Linked DNA regions of Astyanax mexicanus. The protein of the gene in region 1 interacts with the protein of each later gene in a pairwise test. Links are inferred from orthologs where the notes say so. Each region holds a gene or a part of one and is shown on either strand. Other genes may lie near its edges.

Region 1 (7,302 bases):
AAGACATGGAGAATGGCACACCAAGCTGCCGTGTCACTGTCACATTTGACAATGGGCTATATGATTTCACAAGCTAAAATCTTACAACCCATTATTAGCATTTTTTGTCTTTGTGCTGCCAAAGACAATATAATGTTTCTGTGCAGATTTTTCCATTTGAAATGTTTCTAGAACAAAAGTTTGACATCATTGTTAATCCATGTAAATGATAAATCCGGATTAATCATGATTATAGTCATGAATAGTTTAGTTTAGTTTAGGTAGTAATGTTGTAATAGTACAATATGTTTACTAAGATGGTGTACTTATATATTCTGACTGAAAGAAAACAGCCATAGTAACATGTGGCAGAAAAAAACACAATGCTTCATTTTCAGGAATTTATAATAGTAATTTCACCTAATATTTGAGGTGAAGCTCAAGCTGTTCACTGTATTTAAACTTATTTTAGAGAATCAAGGTCATAATTGTAATTCTAGGTCAACCACATTGTTATTAAATAGCAATTCCTAAAAAATGTAAATTGCTGCCATTTAGGGGGGCATACCATGACACGGTGAATGCATGAATGAAGTGAAATAAAAGTGAAAATAAAGTCATTAAGCTGGGAAAGAATATTTATCTGCAGTCTTATAAATATAATAAATTGTCAAAAGAATGTCAAATGTTTAAATCATTTTTTTAAAGTTATAAGACCCAATTACCAATATTCGGATAATGATCCACCAAAGTACAACTGTATTATTACCTAACAGTTTTTTTCCCCTGTCTTCTGTTTAATGTTTTTTTTTACGAAGGAAAAACAGACACAAGTCTCAGCTTTTGGGGTAAAAACTCAAAAGGTGGTGAAGTAAAGCCAGAACATGTTGCATTTTTGGTGCATGGGTGGCCTCACTGTCAGCTTGAGGCGTTTGTTTCTATGGTGATGAGGAGGTCTTGGGAAGCTATCTGGCTTACTGGAAATGTGGCTGCATTGTTGACTTTCTGTCAGGAGGTGGGGGGTGGCGGGGGAGCCGTGGAAGGAGTGACTGCTCCCTTCCTTGTGGTGTGTGTCCATGTTTTGGTTTGTGAGGTACTCTTTCATTTGATATGCATCCCTCACCTCTGGGGTCAGTTGGTCTTGTTTTGTGGCCAAACAAAGGAGAGCCTGAGCACAGTGGCCACACACGTCACCGTCCACTGTCCACCTGACACCCCTAATAACACCTTACAGAACACTTCATCAATTGCCTTGAAGTGCAGTCAAAAGCTTTTAAAACAAAGGCCATTTACACATTCACATGGTGCTTACTGGATGTGTAATGGGCTCTGGTGTCATCTTCCACTTTGGTGTCTCTCAGAAACCAACAATGTAAATAGATGAGACAGTGACAGCAATGGTCCACCCAGTTTGAACATACTCAACTAGTATTATTAAGTTCAGCACCACCTTTTTTAAATTTTTAGTGGTACATTAGGCGTTTCTAAACCTCAAGCGTTAGCCTTCAGATTTAAGGTGTGTTCTACAGCCTCCTGATGTAAAATATCAATTGTTCAGATTTTACACACAGTATAAAGTTATAGTACAGTACAGTAAACATATCCAAAATGATAATGATGAACAGAGTATTATGGGTGGGTCACATTAAATGTTTCTCTGTTCTCAACTTGGGAAACTTGCTTGCTTCATCTGACTTCATAAAATATTTTAGAAAAGGATATTTCTTGCAGAGAAAATTAAATTTATTCCTACATCAAACTGATGGCAGACAACAAACAGCATCTGTTGTGGGTAATGAACTGTACAAAGGTAAAAACTCCATAATAGACTGCCGGGCTTTGTTGCCTACAGGGCTGTCAAGGTTACATTAGCGTACACGATTCATTTGGATGGATTAATGAGTAATTATTTTGTTAACGAAAATTAATTACGCCATCAAGTTTGACCCTAATTTCAACTGTAATCTGCCCCGCCCAATGCGCAGATATTTTTTCTAGAGTGGTTTGCTTGTGGTGAGAACGATCTGGTAACGATCTGGTAACGATCAGACCCATCTGAGCTATCAAATATATTACTTTATAACTGAGCTAAACTGGCTCAGTTTAATCTGATATATTAGTCAGAAAATACACTGCTATGAACAAATGCTGTCTCTGCATCTCCATGCTCTTTACACGCTAAACCTGCAGTCTAGAGATGGAACAATCGATCGGCTGTGTATCGGCAGTGTTCTCAAGTCTCATGCTTTGAGCGTGTGACACACGCACCTCAGCGAGTTTACACGCTCACACGCCACACATGGTATTTCTCACGCTTGCCAATCCATCAGCTGTAAATTATAATGTACTCTCGTTGAGCCAATTAGAATATAGATCGCTCTGTTGTTAGGCAGACCTAGTCAAAGAGGGTGGAGTTTCAGCCAGAGTGTCAGGCGAAGAACTGTCCTATTCAAAAGTTCTGAAACACGCGTTGGTGAGCAACAACGCCCCCACCCCCCACTTCAGATATGTGGTTTATTTGTTAGGAAAGGGGCTACGTGAAAATGTACATACATCTTCACCTATTGGAGCTGACGTGTCTGCATGGCCGTAGCCATATTGGAGGAGGCAACCCTGCGCCCCGAGTGCATTAATTTACACTGAGGAAGGAGTAAAATACACCAATAATAATCACAACTCTACCATTTTCACACGGTTTGGTTTGTTTCAAACAGCAGAGATGTAGTTATGATACAGGAAGCTGTCACACATTACAAATACCTGCTTTCATGCTGAAATACTTTATATTATGCTCTTTAACAAAGACAGATATATGGTATAGCATATTAATAAGGTTTATAAATTAATTATATATATATATATATATATATATATATATATATATATATATATATATATATATATTGACGTATATACACATAAATACACACAATACACATATACACACACAATATATATGTATATTTATATTTAAAATTGCATGTTATCTGTCTTCACTCTCTTAACTATAAACTTTACCATGCAATTCAAATATTAAAATCCTTGAGTTTTTTTTGTCATTGTTGTGTGACTCCAAATATGTTTATGAATGAATTCACTTATATAAAATATATACACATAAATACACACAACACGCAGCAGCTAACAACAGCAGGATTAACGGAGTTAGTTAGCTCACAAGCTAACAACAGCAGGAATAACGGCGTTAGTTAGCTCACAAGCTAACAACAGCAGGAATAACGGCGTTAGTTAGCTCACAAGCTAACAGCAGCAGCTAACAACAGCAGGAATAACGGCGTTAGTTAGCTCACAAGCTAACAGCAGCAGCTAACAACAGCAGGAATAACGGTGTTAGTTAGCTCACAAGCTAACAGCAGCAGGAATAACAGCGTTAGTTAGCTCACAAGCTAACAGCAGCAGCTAACAACAGCAGGAATAACGGCGTTAGTTAGCTCACAAGCTAACAGCAGCAGCTAACAACAGCAGGATTAACAGGGTTAGTTAGCTCACAAGCTAACAGCAGCAGCTAACAACAGCAGAATTAACAGGGTTAGTTAGCTCACAAGCTAACAGCAGCAGCTAACAACAGTAGGATTAACAGATTTCTAAAACATATTCGCTCATTCCAAGTATTTGGAAATTTAGTTAAAAGCTCTGGTTTATTGCTGTAATGTTAATTACTAAAAATGCTAAGTTTAAATCAGGTCAGCGCTTGTTATAACAGGTTATGTGGGCAGACAGAGTCAGGCTAAATTTTTAGCCCATTCTAAGCTCTAGCTGGAGTGTTAGATTACTGTTGCTCCTATTAAAATAATATATTATTAGTTATATATTAACAGTAAATATGAGCTATTTTAAGAAGTATGCTGACTCTGGTGATTGGCATATAAAAATATAAATTGTTGTCTTATAAATATTTACACAAACTTATATCTCTCCTGAAAAGTGTTTATTTTGGTCAGTAAAACTCTTCTGTTTATTTATTATCAGAGTAAATTACCAGTGTTATCTTGGGCGTGGATGTAATTAGGGGAATATGTACCATGTTTGCCTCGAGATGAAAGATGATCAGCGATCGAAATTGGCACCAAAAACACTGATCTCTAATGCAGCGTTCACTGTCAAAAGTATGGACACACCTCTTCCCATTCAGTATGTTTTATGTTTTGTATAATATTTTATATTTTATATTCAGCACAGTACCATGCTGCCCCTAGAGGAGCAGTTGCTGCACTACACCCCTAACCCTTCCGGCACTAGGACCCAGCGCTCACAGACCAGCTGTAAACATGGCCACGAAACAAGCTCACGCGGAAGCTGCACGCGCGGAACGCAGTGAGGAGTTATTAAGGTAAACGCGAGGGATTACAGCTTTCTGAGATTCCGATAGGTATCCGCTCTGTCCCGTTAGTTGGTTAGTCTAAATTCAGAGTTTGTAGCCACACATTAGCAGGGCTAGTGCTGTAGACTTGTGTCTGTGGAGCATGTGTGGGCTGAGCTGCCGTCTGAGCGCTAACAGCAAACTTTCTGATGCGTCTGAACAATAAAACATGCTGCCTACTGAGGCCGGATCCTGAGAACAGGCACACCGACATGCCTGAGTCCAACATTCCCACTCCAGCCCTGTGTAAATGCTAACAGCTAATGAGAACACAGATAAACACTGATACAGCACTGGAAAAAAATTGAGACTAACGTTACTTCCGTTTCTGTGAGTTTGCTATTTAAATATGTTTAAGTAAAGTGAACATTGCTGTTTTATTCTATAAACTACGGACAGCATTTCTCCCAAATTCCAAATAGAAATATTTTCATTTAGAGCATTTATTTACAGAAAATGAGAAATAGCTGAAATAACAGAAAGATGCCGAGCTTTCAGACCTCAAATAATGCAAAGAAAACAAGTTCATATTTATAGTTAGGGTTAGGGTTATTTATAGTTAGAGTTCATAAATTAATATTTGGTGGAATAACTGATTTTAAAACACTGTTTTAATGCATCTTGGCATGTTCTCCTCCAACAGTCTTACACACTGCTTTTAGATATCTTTATGTCTTGGTGCAAAAATTCAAGCAGTTCAGCTTGGTTTGATGGCTTGTGATCATCCATCTTCTTCTTGATTATATTCCAGAGGTTTTCAATTTGGTAAAATCTAAGAAACTCATCATTTTTAAGTGATTGTTTTTTACAGAACTGTATCTAACAGTGAATTGTCAGAACAGCAACAAGGAATCAAGTCAGCATTTCATGCGTTTCAGACACATCTAGCACAGCTGATTCCACAACTAACTGACCCAACCTAGCTAACACAGCTAGAAGATCCGCTCAGTATAAGACACGTTGTCACACCTTCTTCTGGCCGGTGTAGTGATCTATAAAAGCAATATATGGAGCAGGTTTCATATCCATCCAGCACACTGTAACTCAGAGGAATTTCCCTAGATATGACACGTTTGTATCTCTAATGATTTAACGTTGTGTTTTTATTGTTTTGCTTTATTTAAATTACTAATATTAAATATTTATATATTACTTGTATTCAGATGAGCTCAGTAAGGATAGTTCATTGTCCTCTGTTAACATCACTGTTGAATACAACCTAATTACAACAAGCTAAACTGCTATTTCTGCTGCATCCAGACTTGTAACATTACCTGACTATTACAGATATTATCTTATTTACAGCACAAAATTTTACACCTGTGAACACTTCTAAAACTAGGCTTTAAAACCCACTTCTTCCGATTTCAGCAAAAAAAAAAAACAAATCAGCACAGCCTGACTTTTCTAACAGTAAAGATAAGCTGCTGTAATCAGTGAAACTTGTGCTTATAGCACTGCAGCCTGAACAGTTTATAAAATATCTGCATACATGTGGATGGCTTGAACAAATACTATGTCTTTGAGAACTATTTCTTGAACAAAAACTGCTTTCAGACCCAAAATATTCTCAAATATGGTAAAGCAGGTATCTTAGAATCAACAGTTTATTCATAATTAATTTGGTGTAATAACTTTCTGCTAGAGAGTTTGTAGAGTACTACATTTTTCTCCCAATTACCCAAGCATTTACTGATATATTACACTATAGACATGGCTAATTCAAAACATTGCTTATATGTAATGTTAGCTAGGTATTTTAGGAGATGGAACGTCATCCCTCATTAGCACAGCATTGTGAGAGAAAGTGAATTATAATAGTAATAATAATAATAATAATAATAATAAGTATTATAATGATTAGTTCATCATACTCCTAAAAGCATTGTGAGAGTAGAAGAGCCCCAACCCTTCAAATGCCTTTAAATGAATGTCAGGCCAATATCAGAATTTTAAAATCAACCAACAATGCCTGTGAGGCGGTGTTAAACAAAGGTTCTTTACCATCACCAACATGTAGTGCAACCTAAATTATAAATTCTATACAATGTTCTTTTCCATCAGGTTTCTGAGGAACTAGTTTGTGAATGACTGGAAGTTGTTGTACAGGAAGATCCTGTCTTAATGTTTTGCAGGCAGCTTGTTTAGCTACAGTATTTCTTCTCCTCTTCACATATTTCTTCAGTATGTTCTGCCTTTTTCTGTCTTTTTACCCAAAGCCCATCAGAGCTGTTTCATGCTCGGTCACGAAGTCATAAGATTCCTGTGAGAGGGCAGAAGGAGTTCTTGCCCACTGGCTCTGAGCAGCAGAAGACACACCTTCAGAAGAGTCTTCAGGAGCACTGGACTCTGGTGGCAGAGGAACGTGTGGAGAGACTGTGAGTCACTGCCAAACCCAATTATCAACAACAACATTTCTAAGGAAGTGTTTCTCAGAACTACATTGCTTTGGCCCTCGGTACATATGTGTTAGGTGATTCTGTAAATACCTTTGTTCAGAGGCTTCTTCCTACAGTCAGTTACCTTTTCCTTCTTTTTGACACATTTGTGTTTAAATAAAGAGCCTTTGCACCAGAGAGAGAGAGAGAGCACAATTCTTTTACCAGAGGTATCCCTGTTGGTGGCCAGTAGGTGGAGCCCTTTTCCCTTTTTTAATTCAACTTTGATGCGCTCGACCGGGGTGCTCATTCCTGGTGGTCTACCATCCTGAAGATTTCAGATCTTACACACCTCAGTCTAGAATCTACACATGTCCCTGCAAAGCTTTGTTAGACTGTTACGTAGGTGTGACCAACAGGCTACAGGGAAGGAGTCTTCATGGTACAGTCGTACAAAGAACCTGTGCTACCTAAACTGCAGACTAGGACCCTAGAATCTCTATATCAAATTAAACATCCCCATCCATTTAGGACTGTGTTCTCTAGCACCCTATGATTCGATTT
Region 2 (7,535 bases), on another chromosome or scaffold:
GCATGTTTAATAGGTTTATAACTGTAGTTTAAACGCTTTTTAAATTATGTCTGCGGTGCTGAAACAATTGTTGAAAAAAAAGAGCAAAATATTAAGTATGAAAATATATATACATATGATGATATATGATATATGGCATACATTCTGCACAATTACTCCGTTTGAACCCATTCATTTTGGGCTCACTCCGTAGCGCCCCCTGGTGGTCACACTAACCCAGAGGAGATGCTGAAGTGAGTATTCTCTCTATAAAAGCTCCCATCGGCTCAGTAAAGGAAAGATTCATTTTGGTGAATCGGATCATTTGTTTTTAGTACATGGTTTAGTGTTATTAGGCTCGATTGACTCGTTTACAGGAGTCGTTTAAGGACAGCAGATTCTTCCACAGTTCGCGCCAAAAACAGTTACAGCGGCGTCCTAAAATGCCTCCTCGCGCTAAAGCAGGTTAGTGATTTATTTTACAGTTAAATAAATGTCAGGGTTTATAACCGTGCAACATAGTAGATATTTATGTGAGTAGCCGAGGAGCTGTAGAGCAGTTGTCTAGTGTTAGTTAGCTTGTGTAACGTAGCTAAAGAGTGAGCAGCACGACCTGCACAGATTCATTAGATAACCTGGATTTTATAAGTCTGGCTGAACACCTTCAGTAATACAGCGGGTAGACAGGTTAGCTAGTTATCCAGCTAACATAGATGTTATGAAGGTGTGCACATTACGTTGGCCATGTTTTAGCCACTCCTGGGTCAGGATACGTGGTTTTCTTACCTTTAAACCTGTTTTAACCTTACAGCGATGCAGTGCTCAGAAGCGTTAGGCGATGTTAACTAACTTAACTAGTTAAACTAGCTAATATACTTAACCCAGCTTATATATGTATACGTATAATACTTCTCCTCTGAAAGCCACAAAGACTTTAGTGAGGTCAGGTTCTAATAGTGGAAGGTGGTAGTATGGTTAACTAGTGTTTTTATACCCACGTGAGAAAATGTTATAAGAGTGTTGATCGCCCCCTATGGTATGAAATGGTATGAAAAAATTTGGCACCCCTGATTTTCATTTATAAATCATTGGTTGTTTGGATCAGCAAATTTATTTGTGTAAAAAGGAATAATCCAGAATACCTTAAACCAGAAGCCAGACTCTCAATGGAAGCTATAGAAAGCTTTAGAGGTTGTTATTTCTGCAAAACGGGAATCTACTATATATTGATGTATTTATTTCTGGTATTTTTTATGCACTTTTCTAATTTGGTTTAATTATTTGGTATAATTATTGTACACTTTCTTCAAATTCTATTAACCTTATTTGATTTATTTTAACCTTATTTTTATTTATATTTTACTGAAACTGCTGGTCTGAACAATCAATGATTTATACAGGAAAATAATTAAAATGATCTGTTCCAGATTCTTTTTTTTTTTTAAGATGTATTTTAAGAGACGAGACAAGCTGTGGGTGCAATCTAAAGGAACTAAATACATTCAGTACTAGGGGTGTCAACAAACATTTGGGACTTATAGTATCCTTACCCACAAAACAAGAAAAACAGCCCCTCAGTACTCAGTAGTTAATTTCTGGTTATCTGTTCAATCCATATTGAACTAAATAGTCTCCAATATGTGTGTGTAGGTCGTGGGGCAAAGCGCAAGGTGGATGCTGTTGTGGAGTCGGAGCCAGAGGCAAAGAAGGATAAAACAACAGATGCCGAACAGGACGAAGGCCAAAGAGTGGTCATCGAACACTGGTCAGAATCAGTCTCTCTCTCTCTCTCTCTCTCTCTCTCTCTCTCTCTCTCTCTTTCAATGATTGTTAACAGGGTTAACCCAGATTTTGGTTGTATTAGTTTGTTACACAGTTGATATTAAATAAAAAAATGCATGTATAATTTTTTATAATTAATTAAATTATATTTAATAATATTTGGGAGGTGTGTAATGTATAGAGCTCTCTCTCAAAAGGCTTGTGTTCACATAATGGCTGCAATGTGTTTTTGCCTCTTAGTAAAAGCTGACGAGTGTATGGTCGGAATGCCGACATGGTCCGTGAGGCTCTCCTGGCTGTACATCCCGAGCTGCGTGTGGTGCTCAACCCCCAGAAGCCTCGTCGAAACAGCTTTGAGGTCACCCTAATGGAAGGAGACAAAGGTTATGGTGCAGCTATGCAGAATATAATGATGTCTAAAGTGCTGGTTTACTTTTATGCAGAGTTTAACTGGTCATGGCTAGGTGAGACCGGGATTCCAAAGGCAGGGTTAACAAACAATGCACTAGAATAGTTACACTGCAAACATGCTAAAACAGACCAAAAATTAAAGTCTCCAGTGCAAACGGCATTCCTTAGTCCCTCACAGTCTTGCCTTTTGGTATTGGATGGAGCCTTATCATTCTAGAGGACACAGTTCCACCGCCCCACAGCTTAGTGCCTGGGGTATTTATACTCCTCTATTGAGCCGCTGACCTTGTGCACTGTGCCAGTAGGTTTGTTTGTGTTTTAGAGAGTAATTTTCTATTCTATTGGCAGTATTTCTTTATAGGGACTATACATTTTTTGTGTGTTTATTTGCACATCTGTGTCAGCAATGAGTGAACTATTTTTTTGTTTGTTGCAGAGGTGGTCCTCTGGACTGGCATCAAGAAGGGTCCTCCCCGTAAACTAAAATTTCCAGATCCTGCTGAGGTTGTGACTGTGCTTGGCGATGCCCTGAAGAGCAACTAGAGATTAGTGAGGAGATGGGTATGTTGGAATATCATAAAAGTTAGCTTTTAGGTTTATTACATGCATGCACTTTCTGAAATGTTTATTTAAAAATGTGGAATATTTTTTAAGGAAGTTTTTTTAAAAAGCTTAGCAAATGTTTAATGTTTGATTTACCCTCATTTTCAGTCAATCATCTTTGGTTCTATGTATGCATAATGATGAGGATGGACCAAATGGACGACTTCCAGTCTGTTCTCTGATGTTTTTTGGCAACTAGACCCTGGATGATTGCAGCCTCCTTGTGATCTCTTGCTTAACCTCTTAACTCCAATTCTTGTTATTTAGATCTTGTGATCTATTCTCTCACTTTTTCTGTTTTTCTGTGTGGTTTTCTGTATGTTATGTCATCTAATAAAGTAGGATTTTTCAATATAGCAGGATACATTGGACCAACACTGGAAATTGTTCAGTGGGAATATACAATCCTTTTTAATGGTTTTGCGGTTTGGCCTCGCGTGCATGGCTAACTGAGTGATTCTGCTTTTGTAAAAAATAAAACCAGTCTGGATCTGTAGAGTTGAGGTTACAGATGTCTTGCCTTCTAACTGAACTGTTTTAGTCTGTTTTCTGTTCTCATTAAAAAAATAATAATAATAAAGCTTCTATATTTGTACTTGGTTTGTCTCCTTTCATGACCCATGTATGTTCCTTACAAGATATAAACATATCTAAAGATAATGTTCTTACATAATTTAATTTGCAGTAAATAATAATGCTGTTTTGTATCATTAAATGTAGTTAGAGATAAAATGTAGTTCCTAAAGCTGTAAATACTTTTGAAGATACAAATATTTTGTGTAACTAAGTATATAAAACAGGCCTGCGATTGTTTAGATGTCTGTACATTTTAATTGTTTATCATTTTTGAGGAATTAATAGAGGAGAGGAGAATACAATTCTCCACTTACTTTTTAACCCGTGTAAACTGAAGGAAAACTGGATTAGAAATGATTGAGAATTTGTTGTTTTATTATTCACACTCCATGGCATAATTAGATTTTATGGGAGTAAATATGTAATTTTTTGAAAGATTGGGAGACCCTATGGGAGTATGAAACTTATTGTTTGAATCAGATATTTTAGAGCAGGCACCCAAAACATGCTGGAGTATTCTATCTGCAAAAACACTTTAAGTAAGTATACACGCGTATAGTAAGAATATAAACGGCCTAAAATATTTCTTTACATATTCTTGCAATTTGCTGCATAAATATGCATACATTCTTGCATATTTATTACATAATTTTGTTTGTGACCCACTTGTAAGCCTTATTGTAGTGGACGTAAATATGCCTTCTTACATTAGAGAAAAAGAAAATAAACACATCGATATGTTAAAAATAAAGTATAATATGGTTAAAAAAACAAAAGTGGTTGTTTTCTGAGGGAAACAGTGTGTTATAGTGGGTGAAGAGTTTGTAAAGGAAAAAAGGGTCCTTTAAATCAGGAGCCTCGTGCGGGTGATGTCTGACGGCATCACCACGCGCCCGAGTTGCCTGGCGCTGGTGGGCTGTTTGAAGACCCCTGGACTTGTTTGGAGATTTTACTGGACAGTAAGGAGGAAATACAGCCTGAACTTTTTATTTTATATTTAAACACTTTTAGACCACATGCTTTTATATTTCAGGGAGGAGTTTAAACTCAGCCGCTGGATAAAGAGGATAAATCAGGCGGGCGGTGTATTGTTAGTTTGCTGCTGGGGCTCGGAGCTAAGCTAGCTAAAGGCTAAGATCGCTAACGAGTGAAACGCCTGTTCTATAAAACATTCATTAAGTTATATCACCTTTACACACAAACCTTAGAGAAGATTAAATCTGCAGTTTAATATTATCTGATCTTCCTCAGACGCAGGTGCTTAATAATATTAGCTAGTTAGCTTTCTAACAAACTTTAATATTACTATTTAACGTACACTTCGAGCTAGGTTAAGTTACCTAGATGCTATGTTTATGCTAGGTGGTTGCTGTGATGGGCCTGAGTGGTTACTAAAGTTTCTAGTAGTTGAAATTGAGATGTTGTTAAGTAAGCAGTCGCTACGATATGTCAGGTGTTTGTGATGGTATCCCTGGTACTTGCTGTGGTATTACAAGAGTGAATTCGTTTGGGATTGCTATGTTTATTCAAAGGGGTTGCTCTAGTCGTGCAGTGTTACCCCAGGGGTTGTTAGGCAGTTGCTAAAGTACCCCAAATGGTTGTTGTGGCACCCCATGTGGTGGGTTGGGTGAAAAAACGCAGTTTGGGACACCAAGCATGTCTTGGCCAAAGACTATATTGAGTAAATTTGCTTTTTTTGGCAAACTACTGCAGTGGTGCTTGAAAGTTTTTAAAAGAATTTTACAATTATACATATGATCTAAAACATCATCATCATCATCATCATCAGATTGTTAGACAAGTGCAACTTGTGTGCTTATTGAGATTCGGTTCATTTAATACTTAATTCCTTACCTGGAATCCTTGTTCATGGTTGTCTTGATAGTGGACGCAGAAACATTAATACTAGCCAATATGAGAGAGGCCTTCAGTTGCTTAGAGGTTACCCTGGGGTCCTTTGTGGCCCCGCTGACTATTACAAGCCTTGCTCTTGAAGTGATCTTTGTTAATTAACCACTCCTGAAGAGGGTAACAATTACTGAATTACCTTCATTTGTACACAATCTGTCAAAACTCTTTTTCTGAGGTCCTCAGAAATCCTTCACACATTCCACAAAAATGTGTTGGGAACACTTTGATAGATCCCTGTTCTTGAAATTGAACTGAGTGCCATTCTGATTGTCATTCTATTGATTAAAAACACTTGACTCTAATTTCCTCCATATTCATGCATTCAGTAAAAAAAATATGTATGGTCGGATAGTGTGCATTTTTGGAAAAAGCCGTGGATGGTTTATTTTCCATCACCTCTTTCCTTGCAGACATGAGTACAGAGGTCTCTGAAAAACCTGGTGAGGAAGGAGGGAGTACTGGAGGAGGCACTGGGATTGTAGGGACACGTTATGACTTAGAGAAGGAGACTGAGCTGCGCTTTGAAGTGGAGTCTGGAGAGCGGGTCCAGCTAGAACTCCTGACTGGCATGGGCGAAGTGTTCGGCTCTGAACTGAACAGAAATAAGAGGTACACGTTCGGCCCAGGCTCTAAGATCGCTGTGTTCACCTGGCAGGGCTGCAGCCTCTCACTCTCAGGAAAAACAGAGGTAAGGATCATGAGTACTGCACACCCGTTACTGACACTGACAACTTTAAATGCCAATTTCAGTTTGACACAGGATTATGACTTTGTGTCAAACTTGTTATCACTGTTGTGATGTTAAATAACCAAAATGCAACATTAGCCAAACATCAAATTTGTCATAGTTTCTGAATATGTGACTTTGATTTTCAAATAAATTAAGTGATTTTACAGTGTTTGGTTTTATGTTACTATCTGTGTGTGCCTACAGAGCTGTATTCTTTCTTGTGGTAAGCCTAGGGACATGTGTGAATCAGAACTGCAGAAGAGGGGGTTGTATACACTCCATAAATTTGACATAGAGTGTATTGGGACTGTTTTTGATCATTTAGGGACTGTAAGTTCTGAAGTTTGTAGAGTATCTTATATGCTTTGTTCCTACATGAATTGTTCATTATGTCAGCTCCACTGACCATTCAGAAAGTGGTGTTATTGTTATGTTTAATCGGTGTAGTGATATCCTTATTACATTTTTATGAATAGTTACCCCACCATACTGAACCTTATAGTAGTCTCATTCTTTTTGAATATCACTGTCCTGTGAAGCAGCAACCCATATTTTACACACCCCATTTTGCAAATTAAGGCAGTAGTTACTTTAAACAGGTGGGGTTATTGTAGTTGGATCCAAAATTGGAATTTGGAAGGTATCTCTCCAAGCAGCAGGGTTGAAGACCACTTACTTAAGCAATAGAGCCATGAAGAGGATAATCAAGCATAGAGAAAGGAAGTTCTCTGGAAATTTGTTTAAAATAAAATTATTAAAATTAGTAATATGTCTTTTTGTCTGTAGGTGGCATATATCTCTAAAGACACACCAATGTTGTTGTATCTGAACACACACGCTGCACTGGAGCAAATGAGACGACAAGCTGAGAGAGACAATGAGCGGGGTCCAAGGGTATGTCACTCCATTCACACATTTACAGCTCCAATCACAAAGCAGGTAGACTGGCCTAAATCTGATCTTTCTAGACAGACAAGACATATTTCTTAAATGTGAGCCAAGATGACTGGCAAACAACACACTGTATCTGGCATTTTCAGTTGCAGTTAAGGCAACTTTTAATATGGTGCATATCCAATACACAGTAATGCAACTCTGAACAGCCAGATAAGAATTTAGCTTGAATTTAATTAAAAATACACGCTGAGCAGAGGACAAAATGGATTGCTAGTAGCCCAGATATTGCATTCAGGTATTCCTATGCAGCAGAATACCTAATTTGTTTAGACTAACGTTGGCTAGACTACATTAAATTTAAAAGATACTGTAAACAGCCAAAAAAATATGAATTGGTGACTATCTGATTTGGGTCACTTTATCAGCTGTGTGAACATAGTCTTTGCAGTCAGTTCCCTTGCCAAGTGGCTTCTTTCGTGCTCTTTTTACTTTGTCAAAACAATCAACACAAAGTAATAATTCTAAAATACACTAGTCAGTCAGAATCAGTTAAGTACCTCTATTTATGAAAACAAAAGTTGCTTAATTAGTTTGTTCTATAATGTTTTTCAGAAAAGCATAATAAAAAGCAGCATACAAATAGTTT
Region 3 (7,831 bases), on another chromosome or scaffold:
GAGAGCAGAATGGGCCCAGCTCACAAGTTTTTGGTATCTGGAACAGAACAAATAAAGAACACATTTAACGTAACAGAAATGAGTGAGACATTCTTTATATTATTTAGATTCTTCTAAAACCTGTTTAAGGGGCAAGATTCATTGCAATCCTCTTGAGGGTTTTATGCGATCGAATGAATTCTAATGAGCAGTGCGCAGATTAATCTTAGTAGACAACACTGTTTGTAGGATTGTATAATATTTTTTTTCCAATATAATAATCTGTGATATTTAAAAAAGCAGGAATTTTCATCAGAAGTTTAAGTAACATTTTAATTATATTGGGCAGACATAATATAATATGCATCTGTTAGATAATACATAATACCTATTTTTCCTTCCTAACATCTATCAACAAAAAAGTATTGTGAAATAATCTGGTAGAAGGCAGAATAACAAATTTTCATTTTTAATTATTTTTTATTATTTTTCATAATTGCTGCCTTGAAGATATTTATAATTTACAGACAGCAAAACAATCACAATTATGAAGTGCCAACTACTTACCTTGACAAGGGGATAACAGGTAAACATTCATTGCCTATGTCTAGATATAAACAGAAGAAAATAATGTGTTTTTTAGTGTATTGTATTTTAATTGCCAGTTAAAACTTACAACATTTTCATTGTAAACATGTAAAGATGAAATTAGCGAAATACAAATTCAAATCAATACTCACATTCCCACCGTTCTGAAATACTGTGCTCTGGTCTGCTTTTTGACAGAACTCCTTTACCAAAATAACCCTAGAAAAAAATTTATAAAATATGAAGTAAAAAATCTAAATACAACTAAAGCTGTCCATACACTACATGACTTTGAAAAGACTCTGAAAAGACTGAAGTCTGACACCCTCTCACATCTAAAGACTTGTCACAGACTTTTTACTCACAGAATAGTCACAGGCTAAGATTTTGCAAAGACTGAGGATCACTAACTGCAAGACTACAACTATATTCTTTCTGAGATTATTTACCATCATGCTTCAGGTGGAGTTTACATACAATACATATTACATATTAAATTACAAATAATTAAATTACAGTCAATAATGCGATTTATCAGAGACTCACAAAATGTGTCCCCATCAACAGTTAATTTTTTCTGCCACACTGTTTGTTCTTGATATTACTTAATAGAATACATTTTGTGTTCAGCTCTGATTATAAACTTCTTTTCCCCCCTTTTTGCTACATTTGTGTACAGCAAATAATCAAAGCTTTGCTGCTATACATTTGCCTTTGTTTTAAATAGAATTATTGCAATAAGGACATCATTCTTGCAAAATGTGTATTTATTAAAAATAACACAGCACAATAAGACAGAGTAGTGCAAAATAAAATAACTACAAATATAATAACTTTAAAGTGCAACCTGTGTTTAAAAAATTATACATATTAAAGTAAGAACCATATAAGGCATATTAACTGCCAAATCTGTTCTTTTTTAAATAGTTTGTATGTGAACAGTTACGTGAAATATATTCTTGCCTCTTCCCGTAGCTCCCTCTCCTATTGGTTGCTGACATTGTTCACGTCACTATTTGCGTGAGCTGAGTCTCAAGACTTGAGATAATATTAAACACGGTTGATTTTATCTGAGCGCCAGGACGCAAACCTGACTGACTAAAACTTTCAGTCATAACCACCTTATACTAAACGATCCGAATGATGCGACCGCGACTCGACTGTAGCCCGACTCTAGCCAGACTCTAGTGATTTTATCCCGACTCTGGAAATCTGTCTGCGAGAGAGAAATCGCTTAAAAATCGTTAGGTGTAAGGTCGGCATAATGCTCTATTTAAAACATTAAAATTAAATTTAGTATACTTTACTAAAACCTAAAAAGCTGAACATCCAAAGGTTTGCTTGAATAAACAGCAACAATAAAAAGGGTACATATTGTTAAAACTTACCTTTCCATACAGTGATTGAATGTGGTCAGCTTCTCGTACTATAACGTGCTGGTTTATGATCTCGGCTTTGCATATGAGGGCCCCCTGAAGTGAGGAAGTGCCTTGGACTGAGGTAAAAGGAACGGGCAGTGGGCTCTCAAATGATTCGTAAACTTTTGGTCTCCGTTTTGGAGCCTGGAACACCGCTTCCATATCTGCTGAAATGTATATAAAGAGAACATATAAGAACTGTAGGATTACAAAGTGCTGGTGTGGTCAAAAAGACTTATTCTGTAAACATTTCACTAATAAAAAGAAATATATATTTTTCTAGACCTCATTTTTGCAACCCTGTCCCAAGTTCTTACTCCTTAGCAGGGCTGGTTGTAGAGGGGGGCCCCCCAAGTTTTTTTTTTGCCCCTTTCCCATGATCTTTCTACTACAGACAGATTGTGTTTGTCCAGTATTATTAATTTTACTTTAATACTGGATATATACAGATATTTGAAGTGTATTATTAGTATCATGACATTCTGGATCATTGACTTCTGCTACAAATCTGATAAAATTGTATTTTGTAATATCTCAGTTAATGGTGTGCCATATCATATCATAGGCAATAATAATACTTAATTTTCATTTTGTTGCAGTAGTATATTCTTGAATTTTTTTATTCAGTTTTTTTTTTCATATCGCCAAGAGAATCACTATCGTGAAAATACCATGATATACCGTGATATTATGTTAGAGCCATATCGCTCACCCCTAGTTAGCTATCTACCTGTTCTAACTGATGCTCTGGTGGAGATGTATTTTAGCAAATCATCAGATAAATCTTCCCAGAAGAGTAACTTTAGGCTCTAACTGCAGAAAATCAATACAAACAAAGCTCAGAAGAAACATTAAGATGTCAATACAGATTTTTGTAGATATTAAGTGATTTCTAAAGTAAGAAGAAACACCCTAAATTCTAGTAAACAATGGCTTAACGCCTCAGAAAAACAAGATTAGAGACGCTGCTACGCTAGCTGGTTGGTAACCCTGGAGACAGACAGGCAGTTAGCTTAGCACGCTGATCATCTGCTGTAACTGACGTTAGCTTTCCCTGAACGAGCGGTTAGCAAGTTGGATAAACGGCAAAAACAGATACTGGGGTGAGTGAAAATGACAATTCTTTGAAATCATTGTGAACATTTTATACAGATTTCTCACAGAAATATAAAAAACAAAACTTTAAATCCACACATTTAGTTCCATTCATGTATTTAGCTTACGCTGTGCTATGCTAACTAACCTGCAGTTCCGGTGCCACAGTGAAACACGTCCACCGAGTTCACAGCTACTAGTATTTGGTTCCTGTCCGTTTTGAAGCAGTTGTTTTATTTCTGTTTGTTTTTGCCATTTAAGATGTTCAGGTGACGTGAAATACATAAAATAGTAACCTAGAAAAGTTAGCAGTAAACTATCAGGCCTTTTAAAGAAAAAATTGTATTAAATAAAAAAATGTATAATGTAAAAAGGAAAAAGCTATGGAAATTGTTTAGCCTGTAGTCTTTAGTCAAGCATTATTGGAACAAATTGTGTTTCTGCACTCTCTACTGCAGCATTTACACACTGCACATTTACACTTTCATCATAGAAACTACAAAAAGACACAGCAACACAGAGAACCCTGTAACTATTAAAAGTCTTTTCTTTAAAGAAAATAGCTACAGATTACGAAAGAAAGCGGTGAGTACTGTTTCATACACATTCAAAAGACCTTCAGAAACTGGAGAAAACTGCTACAGGAAGATGTCGGGCTGATCCACATGGCAACATCTTTAGCTTAGCTTAACATTGGACTCTATCTTACACCCTGTGCAAAGCGTGTTGCAATGCTTATTGCTATCTTCCACTCCATCAACAGTCTATTTTCACGCCTTGTGTTTGCATTTTTTAAGAAGCAAAGACGCTTACAAATATATCTACACAGATGGGCATGGCAGTCTGGAAGTCAGGTGTGTTCAGGTATTGCTATCTTGACAATAAAAAAAACAGGTGCATCACTGACTGACAAGAACCCTAACAACAGTTAACTGTCAGATGTGCATTGTTATCTTGGCAACTCAGGCACAATGCACGCTTAATGTGCATACACCCCCGCTCCACATACACACACACAAAACATGCAGCACTCACAAACCCAACTTTTCCATTAACAATTAGCAAATAAAATAACATTTCCGTAAATTACCTGCTTGCACACTTTCACAATGTTACTAAGCAGGACAGTTTCCTCTGCTGAGATGCAAAGAAGCAGTGAATGTTAAAATGCCAATCCACCAAAGTCAGAGCACACCGATATATGACAGTTTTATACAGTTATATAATATTCATATAACATATAAGATTTTGCTAACTATTTGTTTGTTTATAAGGGTGTTTCTACATTTAATTACAAATAAAATAGGACAACAGCCAGAATGCTAGAAGGACAGTTGACTGGTTATTCCATTCATGATACTACCAAAAGCTAGAATATCAGTACCCATGTCCCTATAATTTAAACAAATAATTTAACAGCTTCTTTATTGGCATTAGATCCTGGATATATTAATGAATACTTCCAAAAATATAAAACAATATTATTGTGTGTAAATACAAAGTTAAATATGTATTTAATAGAATAAATTAATTTAATAGAATATAATAGAATAAAATATTGCTAATAAATGTTTAAGGCTCAAACATTCCTGCTGTATATGTACAGTATAATCCATTGAACTTAGCAGATTCCCCACTAAATCAAACCATGCTGTGATTTCAGACAAGTTGAAAGTCTGAGGTGTGTCCCCTAAAATACAAAGAAAAAACCCTGACATAAAAATCTCTGATTCCAAGAAACTGTCAAGCATTTCTGGTTTTCACTGGGTTCATACTATCACTCTTTGTCAGAGTTGGTTCCTAGTTTCAGGCACCTTCTTCCAGTAAAATATTGATGAATTTGTACTTTTCGAGTGTTTTTTAAGACGCTAAAACTTATACTACTGCTCCAGTGTATCCGTATGAAGTCTACTTTTTCATCCGCTCAATTAAATTGATAGATGTCACTGTTGCTTAGCTAAAATTGGATTTTGATGGTAATCAGTGTGCTGCTTTGAGCTCTTAAAATATTTCACATTTTAGATCAGCCACTAGGGGGTAATCTTAACCAGCATGTTGCCCATTGAATAAATGGGCCTTGAGGTAGGCATCATGTTAGGCATCCTGCCAGCTTGTATATTAAATACAGCACAGTTAAAGGAACGTTAATGTGTCTGAGAATAAGTCAAAAAGAGACAAAATATGTAGATGCATAATTCTAGAATGGTTGGCTTATATTTGCTGCTAAGGTGATAAGATACATTTGCACCTTCCTAAAGCGGAGTATAGGCAAAGAAAATATATTTTAAAAACAATATGATTGTCATTTATATAAGAAAGAATGAACGTAAATGTAAAAATCTACTTCTGATATAATATCTATTTCACAGCTTTATAAATGACCATCATAAAAATAAATAGCAAAAGTTAACTACAGTTAATTTTAGTTTGATCAGCAGCCAAATGACGAATTTGGCCATGAACGCAGATGACACAGTGAAATCCAGCCAGTGTTGGTGAACTTTTACAAAGCCAAAAAACATGATACCATTTGAGCAATCGGTGACCTGATTCTTCACTGGTTGCACCTGAGAGGACAGAGTTCTTGTAGACAACAAAAGCTAAAAAAAGGGTTCTCAGAACTGAATGTGGGTGGAAAATGAGACTGGCTGGGAGAGTTAAACTGGCTTATTCAGCTTGCATGCAGTTCATGGTTGATGATTTGTCCACCACAAAAAAGTTCTCACTGTGAGGAATGTACACCCTTTTCTATCTTTACTTGTTAAAAATTTAAAAATGTATGCAAAGTACACATGCATCATAGAATAGGTATGTGTTTATATAGCATATAGTTTTTATATGGGATTTTACAGTAGAATACATAATATGTTTATATATATAAATGTATAAAAAACATATATATATATATAAAAAACAACCTAACTTAAATAAATGGGAGATATGTAATAATATTACTTAAAGAATAATTTCCTCATAATTTCCAATTGTGTTCTGTTAGTAAGAAGAACCCATAAACCTGAATGAGTGTTTTTATTTTATTTGTGTTTTATTTATTTTGAATATTTAACATTTCTATATGTAAAAAAAATAGTGTCTGATTATTCTTTGATATATATATATATATATATATATATATATATATATATATATATATATATATATATATATATCAAAGAATAATCAGACACTATTTTTTTACATATAGAACAAATAGTGTCTGATTATTCTTTATATTATATATATATATATATATATATATATATATATATATATATATATATATATATATATATATATATATATATATATATTAAATGGTATATAAAATTATAATAATAATATTTCACATCTGTGTTTGTGTGGTTTCTTGTGCCAAATGTTTAGCAAATTGTGTTGTAGAAACATTGTAATTAAAAGAATTGCATGATGCCTTTATTTCACAATGGCTATTTTTTGTAGCCATTTCGCGCAGCCCTAATAACAAACCACAGGTATGTCAACAAAAACTTCCAGACATTAGATTAATATAATTACACCCATTTAAAGAGCAAGATACTTTAATTATTAGGACCATTTATATCGAAATATACTATAAATAAATAATTTAAACATAAATACAATAACTGTTTTTACACAAAATCAACACACCAACTCATTCACATTACTAGGCTCTTTTTTTTCAAGAAAAACAAGAATGTCCAATATTGAGATCAAAAATTATTAAGGTAAAATGTTTGGATTGGATAACAAGTTAATAATATAGTTATTGAAAGAGGCCTTATAAGCTCAAAACTATGAGAAGACTATGAGAGAACTAAAAATGCTGCAGGTAATTAGCAGTTCTCATGAACATACTCGTCAGATGTTTGATACTACATTTATTTCTGTGGTCTCTTTTATAAGCATGTTCAGTTTAGTGTGAAACCACTGTGGTTTGTTACAATCAGTTATGGACAAAGTAGATACAAAAGTAGAGGCTTCTAAACATCAGTCTATTTATAATGCTGTATTTTTATGAAAAAAGTGCATTTCCTGCAAAACTAAAGAACGGAACTCAGAGCTACCAGTTCTATAGTTCAGCTCAGTCAAATCAGCAACCGCAGAGACAAAGAGTACAGTACATCTACTAACAACATCACTTTCTGTGCAATTCACTTTCTAAGTAATTTACTTTATATTCTACATCTCTTATAATAGATATACTTAACAACTGCATGTAAACAGCATCATATACAAATCTTCATTTACACTAATCAGCCATAACATTAAAACCACGCGCCTTGTATTCTGTAAGACTGGTTTTAATGGTATGGCTTATATAGAGTGTAAAATGGGAAATAATTGAGTATAATTAAATTTTACTCACAAAAAATTTCAGTTCTATATGATGACGATGAGGCCTATATCTATACCTTGACAGGAAACACTGGAACAAAAGTCATTCATTTTCACATTTTTTGTCAAGGGTTTTAATGTTATGGATAATTGGTTTAAATAAAGATCTGTATTATGATGCTGTTTACATGCAGTTGTTAGTATACCTATTATAACAGATATAGAATAGGAAGTAAATTACCTAGAGAGTGAATTGCACAGAATAGTAATGTTGTCATTTATATATGACAATCAGCCATAAGAGTAAAACCACTAACAGGTGAAAATTAGGAAAATTAGACAGTTTCTGACGCAACAGGCCACCCAACTCCTGGTACAAGCAGTCGTCATCTCACGCCTCGACTACTGCAATGCCC

What was found. The genes of interacting proteins can lie anywhere in the genome.
Region 2: the proteins of tsen54 (region 1) and clp1 interact in binary tests that used the Homo sapiens proteins (3 or more experiments, as listed by UniProt). The link is inferred for Astyanax mexicanus from reciprocal best matches to the Homo sapiens genes TSEN54 and CLP1.
Region 3: the proteins of tsen54 (region 1) and tsen2 interact in a two-hybrid assay, tested with the Homo sapiens proteins (2 studies listed by BioGRID and IntAct). The two-hybrid records come from large-scale screens. The link is inferred for Astyanax mexicanus from reciprocal best matches to the Homo sapiens genes TSEN54 and TSEN2.

The regions. Positions count from the first base shown.
Region 1 is NC_064426.1:11,616,398-11,623,699, forward strand, and holds the start of tsen54 (tRNA-splicing endonuclease subunit Sen54), read left to right. Parts: upstream 1-4,221; 5' UTR 4,222-4,268; coding exon 4,269-4,330; intron 4,331-6,579; coding exon 6,580-6,738; intron 6,739-7,302.
Region 2 is NC_064417.1:23,193,135-23,200,669, reverse strand, and holds the start of clp1 (polyribonucleotide 5'-hydroxyl-kinase Clp1), read left to right. Parts: upstream 1-4,204; 5' UTR 4,205-4,310; intron 4,311-5,672; 5' UTR 5,673-5,674; coding exon 5,675-5,950; intron 5,951-5,979; exon of another isoform or gene 5,980-6,170; coding exon of another isoform or gene 6,171-6,215; intron 6,216-6,778; coding exon 6,779-6,886; intron 6,887-7,535. UniProt on the Homo sapiens protein: Polynucleotide kinase that can phosphorylate the 5'-hydroxyl groups of double-stranded RNA (dsRNA), single-stranded RNA (ssRNA), double-stranded DNA (dsDNA) and double-stranded DNA:RNA hybrids. dsRNA is phosphorylated more efficiently than dsDNA, and the RNA component of a DNA:RNA hybrid is phosphorylated more efficiently than the DNA component.
Region 3 is NC_064431.1:12,867,573-12,875,403, forward strand, and holds the start of tsen2 (tRNA-splicing endonuclease subunit Sen2), read right to left. Parts: upstream 3,332-7,831; 5' UTR 3,229-3,331; intron 3,004-3,228; exon of another isoform or gene 2,716-3,003; intron 2,684-2,715; exon of another isoform or gene 2,271-2,683; intron 2,153-2,270; 5' UTR 2,148-2,152; coding exon 1,956-2,147; intron 787-1,955; coding exon 720-786; intron 587-719; coding exon 547-586; intron 38-546; coding exon 1-37.